3 linked regions of the Sus scrofa genome follow. The protein of the gene in region 2 interacts with the protein of the main gene of each other region in a pairwise test. Links are inferred from orthologs where the notes say so. Each region holds a gene or a part of one and is shown on either strand. Other genes may lie near its edges. The genes, in order: EIF4A3, PDCD4 and EIF4A2.

Region 1 (4,307 bases), on a different chromosome or scaffold from region 2:
CTTTCCAGAGTGGAGGACACAAAAATAAAAAGTGCCTATGGCTGAATGCAAGGCCAGGGCTGGTCACGGCGACGGAAGGAGAAGCGCAAAGGCGCTGCTGTGCTGAGCAGCCCGGCCCGGGCCCGGCTCCCGCAGACTCACTGTGCAATGACATCTCTCCCCTTGATGATCTGCTTAATAGCTCGCTGCTGGATTGCCGAAGGCTTTTCAAAACCTGTAAATTAGAGCAGAAAACAATTAGTTCTAACCGCTAGGACAGCATGCTTACAACCAGACGCTGGGGCTCCTCGAGGGCAAGGATGGGCTCTCTTTCTTCCTTTCTCTTTCGGCTGCCCCTCGGCATATGGAGTTCGTGGGTATGTGATCAAATCTGAGCCACAGCTGTGACCTACACCACCGCTGTGGCAACACCAGTTACTTTCACCCACTGTGCCAGGCAGGGACTGAACCTACATCCTGGTGCTGCAGATATGCCACTGATCCCGTTGCACCACAGAAGGAACTCCAAGGATGGTATGTTTTTTAAAAAAAAAAAAAACCCTCCTGATGCAATGTCCAACATACTGAGCTCTCAAAAAACAGCTGTTGAACAAAGCAGGATTTGTGGACTTTTGTGGATTTTTTTTTTTAGGGCCACACCTGCAGCATATGGAGGTTCCCAGGCTAAGGGTCGAACGGGAGCTGTGGCTGCTGGCCTGAGCCACAGCCACAGCAACTTGGGATCTGAGCCACGTCTGCAACCTCCACCACAGCTCCCGAAACGCCGGATCCTTAATCCACTGAGCCAGGCCAGGGACTGAACCCACAATTTCATGGATACTAGTCGAGTTTGTTAACCACTGAGCAAGGGAACTCCAGTGGATTTTCTTTATAGTAACATATGATCTTATTTATACAGACAAAATCTCTGAGGAACATTGTTGCAAACAGAGACCCTAGTTAGGTTTAAAAAAAAAAAAAGTTAACAGGTGGTTACTGCTGGAGAACAGGGGGAGGGAAGCTCACATCTTACTTCCATTACTACTGCATTGTTTGACTTCATTACAATAACCTGCATTGTTGGGGGTGTTTTGGCATCACTTGTTAAATTAAATAACCCATCACAGTCAGTCACTACTCCCTATCAGCAGTAAGTCTTTGGGTAGGTGACATCATCTAAAAACGAATGTCACCTACGCCTCCCGCCCTGGATGCCCTCCTGCCCTGGATGCGGCTGCGTGAACTGCAACCCCTCTACTGTCTGAGTAAACAAAACTTCATGTACAAATAATGGACATGAAATAATTCTCATAGTCTTTTAAAATGTAGTAAACTTCCCACTTAACACAAAAGCCAATCTAATGTGATTTAAACCCCTCATGATGACGCAGCAGGTGTTTCAGGGAAGGGAGGCCCTAGATCCCAAGAGGCAGGTGGGCTGTGAGCCTCACTACAAGGCTTAGTTGCTATAGTTCACCTCCCGTTCCCTCAGCACCTTCTCTGCACTAAACTGTCCTGACTCAAGGACTGCTGGATAAAAAAGATGCCCCAGTCCCAGGCATTAAGCACGGATGCTGCTCATTCCGGAGAGTAGCCCCAACCCCGCCTCTTCCGAGGCTCCCAGCTAGGACAACTGATGGCTCACAGGTCCCTCAAGCTCCCCTCATTCAAGAAGTGCTCCCACCATTACTCCCTGCCTGAGCAGAGGGCAGCATCACCGGTCCCATCAGCCACACACCTAGGATTTTCCTCTGCTGCTTACATCCATCTCCACCAGAAAACCATCATCTCTCCCCCGGACTGGAACAAAAAGCCTCCTAGCATCTCCCTGCTTGCTCTCCCGCCTCACCTCCACCCACATCAGACACCCCAATTCACTTCTAACTAAATATGGTCCTGTCGCTTCCTTGCATGAGACCCTCCAATGGCCTCCCCCACTGCACTCAGAAATAAAATGCACTCTCTTTATCACCCCAGACTTCACTCTTCAAGATGTGGCCCCCTCCTCCCTCCCCACAGGGAGGACAGGAGATTCTGTTCCTGGAATGTCCCCGGCTCCGGGCTGCAGGACCTGGCACCAGCTGCCCCCTCTGCCCAATTCTAACATAACCTTCTCATAACGGGCTCCTTAGCTGAGTCTCAGTTCAAATGCCAGGCCCTACTGGCAGCCACCTTGCCTATTTGCTCTACTAGTTTAACTCTCTCCTCCGCGCAGCTTGAACCAATTATCCCGCTTAATTTTCTCCGTAGCCATTACCATCGATTATACAGTCCTCCTCCCAAATGTAACTTAAACTAAGGCTTAAGCTAACTTAACTAAGGGCACGAACCTGTCTGGTTCCCTACTAAGCCCCGAGTACCTAGAGCCGCGCACCTGGCCGATACAAGACAGTTATCCGCTGAATGAATGACTCCCAAGTGCCCAAAGGACCCTGCAGCCCTCTTGGGTCCCAGCAGGGCGCGCTGCCGGGAGGACAACACCCGAACCCGCCGGCACAGATGGGGGTGGATACGCGTGGTGAGGGAAGGGGTCACCCGTGACCCACCCCGGGCTCGGCCCCAACCCGGATCCCCGACCTTCAGGACCGCCACACTCCCAGTCTCGGGACCCAGCCCTCGGCCGGGCCCATGCTCTCCGGCGGGCGCTCGCAGCCCGCGCCCCGCGCCCACCGACCGTAGGCATAGATGCCGCGCAGCAGGTCCTCCCGCAGGCCCATAGTGTCGAACGTGGGAGTCACGTCCACCTCCTCGCTGGTCTCGAATTCCACTTTGGTCATGTCTTCCTCTTTCAGCAGCCGCTTCCGCGCCGAGCCTGAGGTCGCCATCGTGGCCGTGGCCGCCATGATGCCGAGCGGGCTGAGAACCGACTGCGCGCCGCACCGGGAAGCGGAAGTAGAGCGCCGCGCCGTCGCCGCCGCCAGGAACTGACGGCATCGCGCGCGCGTGCCTGCGTAGGAGCGTGCGTCGGAGCCGCGCTCGGAAGGGGCGGGGAGCTCCTGGTCACGTGAAAGGGGAAAGGGGCGGTGCCGCAGCTCTCGAGGGGGAGGGGTTCCGCGGGATCCGCGGGCCCCGCCCCTGGCCACACCCCGCCCCTCCCCGCACCCGCGTAAGGTAGGCGCCGGGGTTCGCCCGGGTCCCTCGGCTTGGGCTCTGGGCTGGGCTGTTGCGCGGAGGGTTACCGGTTACCTGGCCGCATTACCGGTTCCTCAGCGCGGCAGGGTAGAACTGGAACTCCTGCAGACGAGCTGCGGCGTGCGCCAGGGCGCCCCTGCCGGGAGGAGGCACCCGGGTGCTGGTCCCTGCCTGCGCTCATTATCCCGTGTAAACATGGCCCCGTGGGCCATGCTTCTCTAAAACTTCAAGTGCCTCTAAAATCAAGTACCGCAAAACTGGCCTCTGAACCGATTTCATCACTTGACGGACGTTCATCTGTGTTGTGTGAGAACAGCGATAACTTTGTGAAACTTGTACTTGCCCAAGTGCCAGCTCCGTCCTTTCTCATTGTTTGCTTGGCTCCCATCCTGGGCATATCTTTAATTCACAGCCTCTTTCCAGGAGTGCTTAAACGCTTTCCTGTTGTGAAGGTTAATTCAGTGAAAACTGGGTGATCATATTATCCATTAAAATCAGGCATAAGAGTGCAGAGGTTTGCAGTTTGTTGACAGCAAACAAGTAAATGAGGTCTTTTCCTGAAGCTCTGGCCCAGACCTTAGAATATGTCCAGACTCTGCAAGAAAATTGACCTGATAAACGTGCCTGATAAGGATGCTAGTATGGGAAGTTCCCCTTGTGGCTCAGTGGGTTAAGAACCTGACTAGCATCCATGAGGACACGGTTCGATCCCTGGTCTTGCTCAGTGAGTTAAGGATCTGGCGTTGCCGTGAGCTGTGGTGTAGGTTGCAGATGTGGCTCAGAGCTGGCACAGCTGTGGCTGTGGTGTAGGCCGCCAGCTATAGCTCCAATTTGACCTCTAGCCTGAGATTTTCCGTATGCTGCATGTGTGACCCTAAGAAGCAAGAAAAAAAAAAATGCCAGTATTACTCAAACCTTAGAGTTCCAGCTGTGGCACAGAGTAAGTTGCTGCGGAGGGCATGGGTTCAGTCCCCAGCCTGTGCAGTGGATTAAAGTATCCCAGGTTGCCACAGTTGGTCACAGCTGCAGCTTGAATTTTTTTTTCTTTAAAGGGCCACACCTGCAGCATATGGAAGTTCCTAGGCTAGGGGTCAAATCGGAACTACAGCTGCCTGCCTATAGTAGCCACAGCAATTTGGGATCCAAGCTTCTGCAACCTACACCACAGCTCACAGCAACACCAGATCCTTAACCCA
Region 2 (3,543 bases):
GAAGTGAAGGCCTTAGAAGTGGAGTAACTGTACCAACCAGTCCAAAGGGAAGGTTGCTAGATAGACGATCCAGATCTGGGAAAGGAAGGGGACTACCAAAGAAAGGTTGGTATATACCAGTCCAAAGAAACAAATGGAAAAAATTTTGTCTGATTCTTGTACTGCAGTTTCCTCGTTCTAGGAATGAGAGAAGTTTAAACAATGATGTAAGGCTTTATAGTTTGTGTATGTTTTTATATGGTAATAATCTGAGGACCATCCCACTTTTTCGTTAAGTTGAGCCTTTTTTGTTGTTTGAGTAGACTTAGTTTTTTGGAGCAAAACTTTATCTCTTATTTCTGGCAAAATACACACCAGTGTTTTTCATGGTTAAGAATTGTGCATGTATTCTCTAATTCTGCTTTAAAGAAGTAGGGTCAGAAATTCATCATATCTATTATATGGTATAGTAAATCTAATTTGTTAAGAGTACATGGTAAATATAAGTTTGATTAGTAATATCTGAATCAGAATTTTAATAATTTTATAGATCTGATTCTGATTTTTCTTTAGCTCTGTTTATTTTGAGTACTGGAATGGAATGGTCTTGTTTCACTGGTGTGTTTCCAGTGTCTGGAGTAATGACTAGCAATGTAGGTACTTAAAATATTTATTGAATAAGGGGTTTGTCAGCATTTGTCTATAGTAGGATTTTGATGGTTTGGAAATTTCACCAGCTCCTAAATGGTGGGAATGTCAAATTATCGCCCTAAGTGTTTTGTGCTGTGTCAGAAATTGCTGTTGTTGAATGGCTCTGCAACCATTGGTTGGGCTCAAATGAAACCTATTTACCAGATTGTTCTTTTTGCTCTGGTGGCAATGATTATACTGTATGTGTAAAATAACCTCCAAAAAATTGGTGTACTGTAAAGTTCTTTTTTTTTTTTTTTATCTTTTCTAGGGCTGCACCTGTGGCATATGGAGGTTCCCAGGCTAGGGGCCTAATCGGAGCTGTAGCTGCAGGCCTACGCCAGAGCCACAGCAACGCTGGATCTGAGCCAAATCTGCAACCTACACCACAGCTCATAGCAACACTGGATCCTTAACTGAGGCCAGGGATTGAATCCGCAACCTCATGGCTCCTAGTTGGATTCGTTAACCACTGAGTCACGATGGGAACTCCATAAAGTTCTTTAACAATAATGTAATATATTGAGCCTTAAGAAAATATTTCAGGAAGTTTATTTAGTAAAGCAACTTTAGAAGTTGGAATTGCTAAACTTTTGCTAGTCAGTTTATATATAGAAGTAGAAATAATGATGAATTCTGTTAATACTTAAATAGTAATTAGTTATTTTTAGGATATTGGTAGTTATAAAGTGTAATGTATCCTTTTACAGCTAAAGCATGTTTTACTGTCAAATGTCTGATGGTGGTCACCCTACTTCTTTGTTGAATAATTTCTCCCTTGTTGAGTTTTTTTGACACATCACACTGGATCAACATACTTTTTGTTTCCGAGAAATGTCAGATAAAATTTAGCTTAACTTAACCTGCCTTAAGATCCCTGATACAGCTATTTTTCTGATTTTTTTTTTTTGGTTTGTTATAACTTCTGTTTTAAAGCATCTGCCTTTTTATTTTTAACTTGGTATTTTGGAAACAGGTTATAAAATACATAGTATCTAATCATTAATGAAAAAGCAGTGATCTGAATAAAAAGAGGTGTAAAATATAACTTTAAACTAGCAAAAAAAGCATAGAAATAAAAATACATGTTTTTAGCTATTTTATTAATACCCAAATATCTAGAATTATTTAAGATTTCAATTAAAATTTATGAACTATAGACATTATGCTCTTTCCTTTCTCTAAACTTTTTCAGGTGGTGCTGGAGGCAAAGGTGTCTGGGGTACACCTGGACAGGTATATGATGTGGAGGAAGTGGATGTGAAAGATCCTAACTATGATGATGACCAGGTATAAGTCTTTTACTTTTTTTGATATCTAAAATGCTTATAAACTTTTTTGAAAATTTTTTTTGCTTATAAACTTTTTTGACCTCATGTTTATAGTATACTCATGTATTTGTCAAATCATGTATTCTATCTATATGCTATATCTGTCAAATCATATATTTATAATTTTATATATTATTATATATAATATATATGTAGTGTGAATGTGTATATGTGTACACATATTACACACATTAGTGTGTTTATCTACACTAATTCAGTACTTTCTGACTGTTAGGTTAATTTTGGATTGAGAAACTAAGTTAACTTTTAGCAGCGTAGTCATAATTTTCACTTGGTTTCTGAATTTAATAGTTGGATGTGGAAATATTTCTAACAGAACATGAAAACCAGTATATTTTAAAACCAGTAGATTCAAGTACTATAGAATCTTTGCTAAATATTCTAATTTTAATATAGTCTTGAAAGACTTGAAAGTATATGTCGTAGACTGAACCCAGTCACAAGTTGCATATAAGCATTTCAGGACTTTTTTTTACAGAGGAGAATGGGGATAGAAGATTATTGGACGTCTTATTCTTTTTGACATTTCAGTTAAATAGTACTTTTCCTTAGAGATTTTTGTCATCACTGCAAACATTGATTTTTGTAATAAGGGTTTTTATTATACTAATCATGAAGGCTTTGGTTCCTGTCTCCCCCCACCTTTTAAAGTGAAGTTTTTTTTTTTTTTTTTTTTTGTCTTTTGTTGTTGTTGTTGCTGTTGTTGCTATTTCTTGGGCCGCTCCCGCGGCATATGGAGGTTCCCAGGCTAGGGGTCTAATCGGAGCTGTAGCCACCGGCCTATGCCAGAGCCACAGCAACACGGGATCCGAGCCGCGTCTGCAACCTACACCACAGCTCACGGCAACGCCGGATCGTTAACCCACTGAGCAAGGGCAGGGACCGAACCTGCAACCTCATGGTTCCTAGTCAGATTCGTTAACCACTGCGCCATGATGGGAACTCCTAAAGTGAAGTTTTAATGAAAATAACAAATATGATAGGAAGCCATCTTTTTTTTTCTTTGCTTTTTTTGGAGCTTCATGTGCAGCATATGGAAGGTCCCAGGCCATGGGTAGTTCGGAGCTGCAGCTGCCAGCCTGTGCCACAACCACAGCAATACGGGGATTCTGAGCCTTATCTGCAATGTAAACCACAGCTCAGGGCAACTGGATCCTTAACCCACTGAGCGAGGCCAGGGATCCAACCTGTATTCTCATGGATAATAGTTGGGTTTCAGTTCCACAATGGGAACTCCGGTAGGAAGTCATCTTAAAACTTTTTTGGTCACTGCAGTATTTGTTTCTGTGGGAGAGATGAAAAATTAACAGAAGATATGGGGGATAAATGACATAGGTTCTGTTTTTTATGTAAGTAATCAAAGCATGTAGCATGTCTTCTTCTTGCCCTGAATGGGTGTTACTAACCAGTTGTAATGTAAAATTTAGAAACAATTTCATTTATCTGAATGTTTTACTCTTTAATTTATAAATTTCTTCCCCTTCTCCTTTCAGGAGAATTGTGTTTATGAAACTGTAGTTTT
Region 3 (4,223 bases), on a different chromosome or scaffold from region 2:
TGCATCAATTACTTTAAGCAGGGGGAATGACAATAGAACACTTCAGTTGTATTGTAACAGTACCTGCATTAACCTAACCTCCAGCTATTACAGGAAAATGAGGGAAAATAAAGCTCACCTGAATACTTGTATTTAATTTTTGGAAAATCTCATAGATTTGATCCTTAAACCCTCGGCTCAGCATTTCATCTGCTTCATCCAAAACAAACATTTTGATCCATTTTGGAGCTGTTAAAAATAAAGTCGTACTATTATCTCTAGACTATCAGGCATGTTATTGATTCCTAAGAGTTAAAAAAAAAAAAATCTATACTCCAACAAACTATACTAATAGGGAGTAATACTTACAAAGATATCTTCTGTTTAACATATCAAACACTCTCCCTGGTGTACCAACAACAATATGTGGTGCTTCAGCCTGCAGTTTCTGCATTTCATTCCGAACATTTGTCCCACCAATGCAGGCATGACAAGTTGCTCCCATATAGTCTCCAAGTGCCAGAATTACCTTTTGGATCTGAAAGCCAAAAGCGTTAATTATCATCCAGCAGCATTACATGCTGTGACTAAACTTCCAAAGCATATTGACAAGTATGTGGTCTGCAAACAGCTTTAATGCATGCAGAGCACCTAACTACTTTCAAGCTGAAAAAAATGCAGACAGATATAACTGTCAGGATAAACTTCACTGAAATATCTTGTGCCTTGTCAAAACTTGGGATCCTATTGCCCAGATACCAACCAGGTTATTTAGAGTGAAAAACATTTCCTACATTAGTATTGTGCAGGAAGGAGTAAATAAGATTTATCATCATTAACAAACTTTTTCCCGCAAAGTACTGCAGCATATAATCTTGACCTTAATAACAACTACAAGTGTATTAGCAAGGTTTACTTCAAAGCCAATATAGTAGTGAGCTTTGAAAACGCAGCATGCAACAGATGTATCACATACTGAGACAGTCAAATGAATGAACATGTCACTGCAGCTTTCATGTTGCACAACTGGATTCAAACTTAAAATGAGAAAAGATCTAGTCCAGCCTGAACAGAAATCTTCAGTTTCTCAATCTGTTACACAACCTTGCAAACCATACCTGCACACCCAGTTCCTGTTTAACTTTCAACAATAACTCCCTGCATGCATGGACAGTTAAAAGGAGGGCTCTGTAGGACCAATTTATACTAGGCTTTTAAATTCTCCACAGTTGTGAAACCTGAAACCTATGCAACACGCAAGCAGTTTTTTTGAACTACACTATCAATACCTGTTGAGCCAGTTCTCTGGTGGGGGCCAATACTAGTGCTTGGGTCTCCTTGAACTCAATCTCCAACTGTTGCAGGATGGAAATAGCAAATGTGGCTGTCTTGCCAGTACCTGACTGAGCTTGAGCAATCACATCATACCCTAAAAAAAGTAGGATACATATTTACCGATCCCACAGCAAACCGTCACTTCTAGTCACACCATGTATTCCATTTGGAACATAATTATGCCCAAATAATCAAGTGATCAGCAATGAGTATTCTCTTCATTTCAGGTCAGTCCCGAAAGATGATTGCCATCATTTCACTTTTTGGAATACAAATAGGTGCTAGTCCCCCAGAAGGTATACGTTCCCTTTTACGGTCCAGGTCTATGCAGAAGAGTGAATTCATTTTTAAAAACAGCCGAATTCTTTTACCTTTAATACAAGGAATAATAGCTCTCTGCTGAATAGCTGATGGCTTCTCAAAACCGTAAGCATAGATGCCCCGAAGAAGAGACTCCTTTAAATTCATATCGTCAAAGTTATCAACAATCTCATTCCAGTTGCTCTGAAAGTTTGGGCAAAAAAAAAAGGAATAAATGGGACGAACACACTTACCTTCCCAGAGTTTCAAATTCCACACACGTTTCTTACCTCGATGACACCATCGGGGTCCATTCCCTCTGGGCCGCCATGTTCTCTGCCAACAAAAACACTGCAGTTAGAGAAAATCCCTTCCCCAAACCCACTTCAACTGCACATGGGCGAAAAAGCGCTTTCACAACCGGTCTCTTGAGGTCGCCCTCCCCTGCACGAGTCCACTTCCCAAAGCCGCAGAAGAAGCTGATGCCGCAGGGCACACAATGTCCCGCGCGCCCGCTCAAAGGTTAGGACCTGAGGACACCCGGAAAGGCCCCTCCGACGCCGGCCCTCCCCCTCCAAGCCCGAGCGCAGGCGCTCCCCTCGGCGGCGGACCGTCTCGCGAGAGCTCCACGCGCTGAGCTCCGCCCCTAACACTGCGCAAGCCGGGGTGATTGACGCGGGCCGAGGCCTGGAGAGGCGAGCCAACGGCTCATTGGGACCCCGTGGCCGGCGCGGCCCCATCCGGCCTCCAGCCGCGGGCAGTGGGCGCCGTCGCCGTCCTGCCCCCCACCCCACCACCGTCTAGCGCGCCCAAGCCGCGCCGCTGGCCGCGAATAAACCTCCGAGCCCCATTAGACTCTATCAACCGCGGGCTGCGCCATGGCTTTCACTAAACGCCGGGCTCCGCAGGGGCAGGGGGGCGGCTGCGATTCAAATGCGCCTTCGGGGAAAGACACGCTTTAACCACCCCGTTTTCCTACCCTCGTCTCGTCTCCCCACAACCCGGGCCCTACACTTCATGGAAGCTTCTCGAAGGACACAGGAGTACCGTGGCCCAAGGCAACGCCTATGAACCAGGGCTTCTCTTCCTGCTCACCGCCTACTACCATCTCCTCTGGCGCCTTAGGACCATACCATAGAAAACCACCGGAGAGAGCGCCATACCTGTTATAATCCGCGGAGCCACCAGACATGATCCAAAGAACCACTCAGCGCCCGACTGAAAAGACAGCCGGGCCGCACCACCCGTTTTTTATAGGCTCGCGGCCGGAACCCGTTTTCCGCGGAGGAATTTTACTGTCGCTCTTCGGCCAGTCACAAAATTGTGATCCTGGGATGCTTATCTCAGAAAATATTCGAAGCAAATCATTAAGAAAATTCAAATTTGATTATGTGTCGATATTCCAGGGTTGTTGAAAATCCCAGGACCCTGGGGGAAGGTTGGGACTCTTTGACCCGCGGCGGAAGAATATTGCAGCAAGCAGTAGCTAGGTTCGCGTTCCCTGCCCGCCCTGCTCCTACGGGGTTTCCGCGTCCCTCGAGCAGAGGCGGCCGGGGCGCCGGGCAGGACCGGGAGGCGGAAGCTCGGGGCCCCTTGGAAGCTGGGTGGCCCCGGTTTCTCCGCAGGCGAGCCAGGGAACCTCGCTGTGCTCGCCGTGCTCGGTGCGGAAGGTGTAGGCACGGCCATACTCCGCACTGGAGGGCAATCGGGCTATTCCGCCTGTTCGCGCCGCTACTTAACGCGAAGGTAAAGAGCCGCCTGGCCTTTGACACGAGCGTTTAACATCCATACAGACCTTGACAGTGTGAAACTCGCGCTGCGGAAAATGTCGGCCGCCCAGCGTGTCACAGGAGATCCGCTTTACCGTACATCGTGCAGGGCGAGAAGAAATGTGTAGGGTCCTCTGCAAATTGTCTCTGGAGTAGCCAACTCCTTTCTTATGTTGCCTCTTCTCTCACTGCCTTTTAAAAATAAAGGTTATAAATTTTAACAGGTGTGAGCAATGCCTGATAAAATCATTGTAAACTGGCAAATAGAAGGGTAATTTTTCCTGTAATTCAGGAATTTAAGTGGATGCTTCTGGCAAGTACAGCTCCGTGCCGCTTTGGGACTACATAAGTTTTGCTTCCGGTCATTTTTTTTTTTTCCAAAAGGCTTTTTGAATTTTAATTGCTTATATATAATGAATGTTGATTTATTGATATTGAGAGCATTGTAACCCTTAAAGCTCCAGAGGCTTTCAACTATAGCCCTAACCCATACTCATTAGTAAAAACAAAACAAAAATTAATATATATAGTCATTTAACTTTGAAATACAATCCTACCCATACTGCAAAATATCACAATTACTCAAGAAAACCTTTTACCATTAAATCAGACTGCCAACATAAAGTCTGATAACAGGAAAAATGACTTAATTTTCTATATTTGTGTACTATATTCAGTATGATGCTTGCTTCTAAATGCCACATTTTTTCCAAAAAAAAAAAAATCATTTGCTTGAAAATTGTTGTGCCAGAAACTGACAAGAACTAATACCCAGATGACAGTGTCTTCGCCTGCAGTCTAGTGATGCTGCTCCTTAACCATCCCTTTATAATGTTCAAG

What was found.
Region 1: the proteins of PDCD4 (region 2) and EIF4A3 interact in binary tests that used the Homo sapiens proteins (3 or more experiments, as listed by UniProt). The two-hybrid records come from large-scale screens. The link is inferred for Sus scrofa from reciprocal best matches to the Homo sapiens genes PDCD4 and EIF4A3.
Region 3: the proteins of PDCD4 (region 2) and EIF4A2 interact in binary tests that used the Homo sapiens proteins (3 or more experiments, as listed by UniProt). The two-hybrid records come from large-scale screens. The link is inferred for Sus scrofa from reciprocal best matches to the Homo sapiens genes PDCD4 and EIF4A2.

What each region holds. Positions count from the first base shown.
Region 1 is NC_010454.4:2,284,210-2,288,516, reverse strand, and holds the start of EIF4A3 (eukaryotic initiation factor 4A-III), read right to left. Parts: upstream 2,839-4,307; 5' UTR 2,823-2,838; coding exon 2,654-2,822; intron 215-2,653; coding exon 142-214; intron 1-141. UniProt on the Homo sapiens protein: ATP-dependent RNA helicase. Involved in pre-mRNA splicing as component of the spliceosome. Core component of the splicing-dependent multiprotein exon junction complex (EJC) deposited at splice junctions on mRNAs.
Region 2 is NC_010456.5:121,316,786-121,320,328, forward strand, and holds part of PDCD4 (programmed cell death protein 4), read left to right. Parts: coding exon 1-105; intron 106-1,864; coding exon 1,865-1,959; intron 1,960-3,514; coding exon 3,515-3,543. UniProt on the Homo sapiens protein: Inhibits translation initiation and cap-dependent translation. May excert its function by hindering the interaction between EIF4A1 and EIF4G. Inhibits the helicase activity of EIF4A. Modulates the activation of JUN kinase.
Region 3 is NC_010455.5:124,581,680-124,585,902, reverse strand, and holds the start of EIF4A2 (eukaryotic initiation factor 4A-II), read right to left. Parts: upstream 2,842-4,223; 5' UTR 2,807-2,841; coding exon 2,778-2,806; intron 1,951-2,777; coding exon 1,905-1,950; intron 1,819-1,904; coding exon 1,686-1,818; intron 1,409-1,685; coding exon 1,269-1,408; intron 518-1,268; coding exon 349-517; intron 229-348; coding exon 119-228; intron 1-118. UniProt on the Homo sapiens protein: ATP-dependent RNA helicase which is a subunit of the eIF4F complex involved in cap recognition and is required for mRNA binding to ribosome.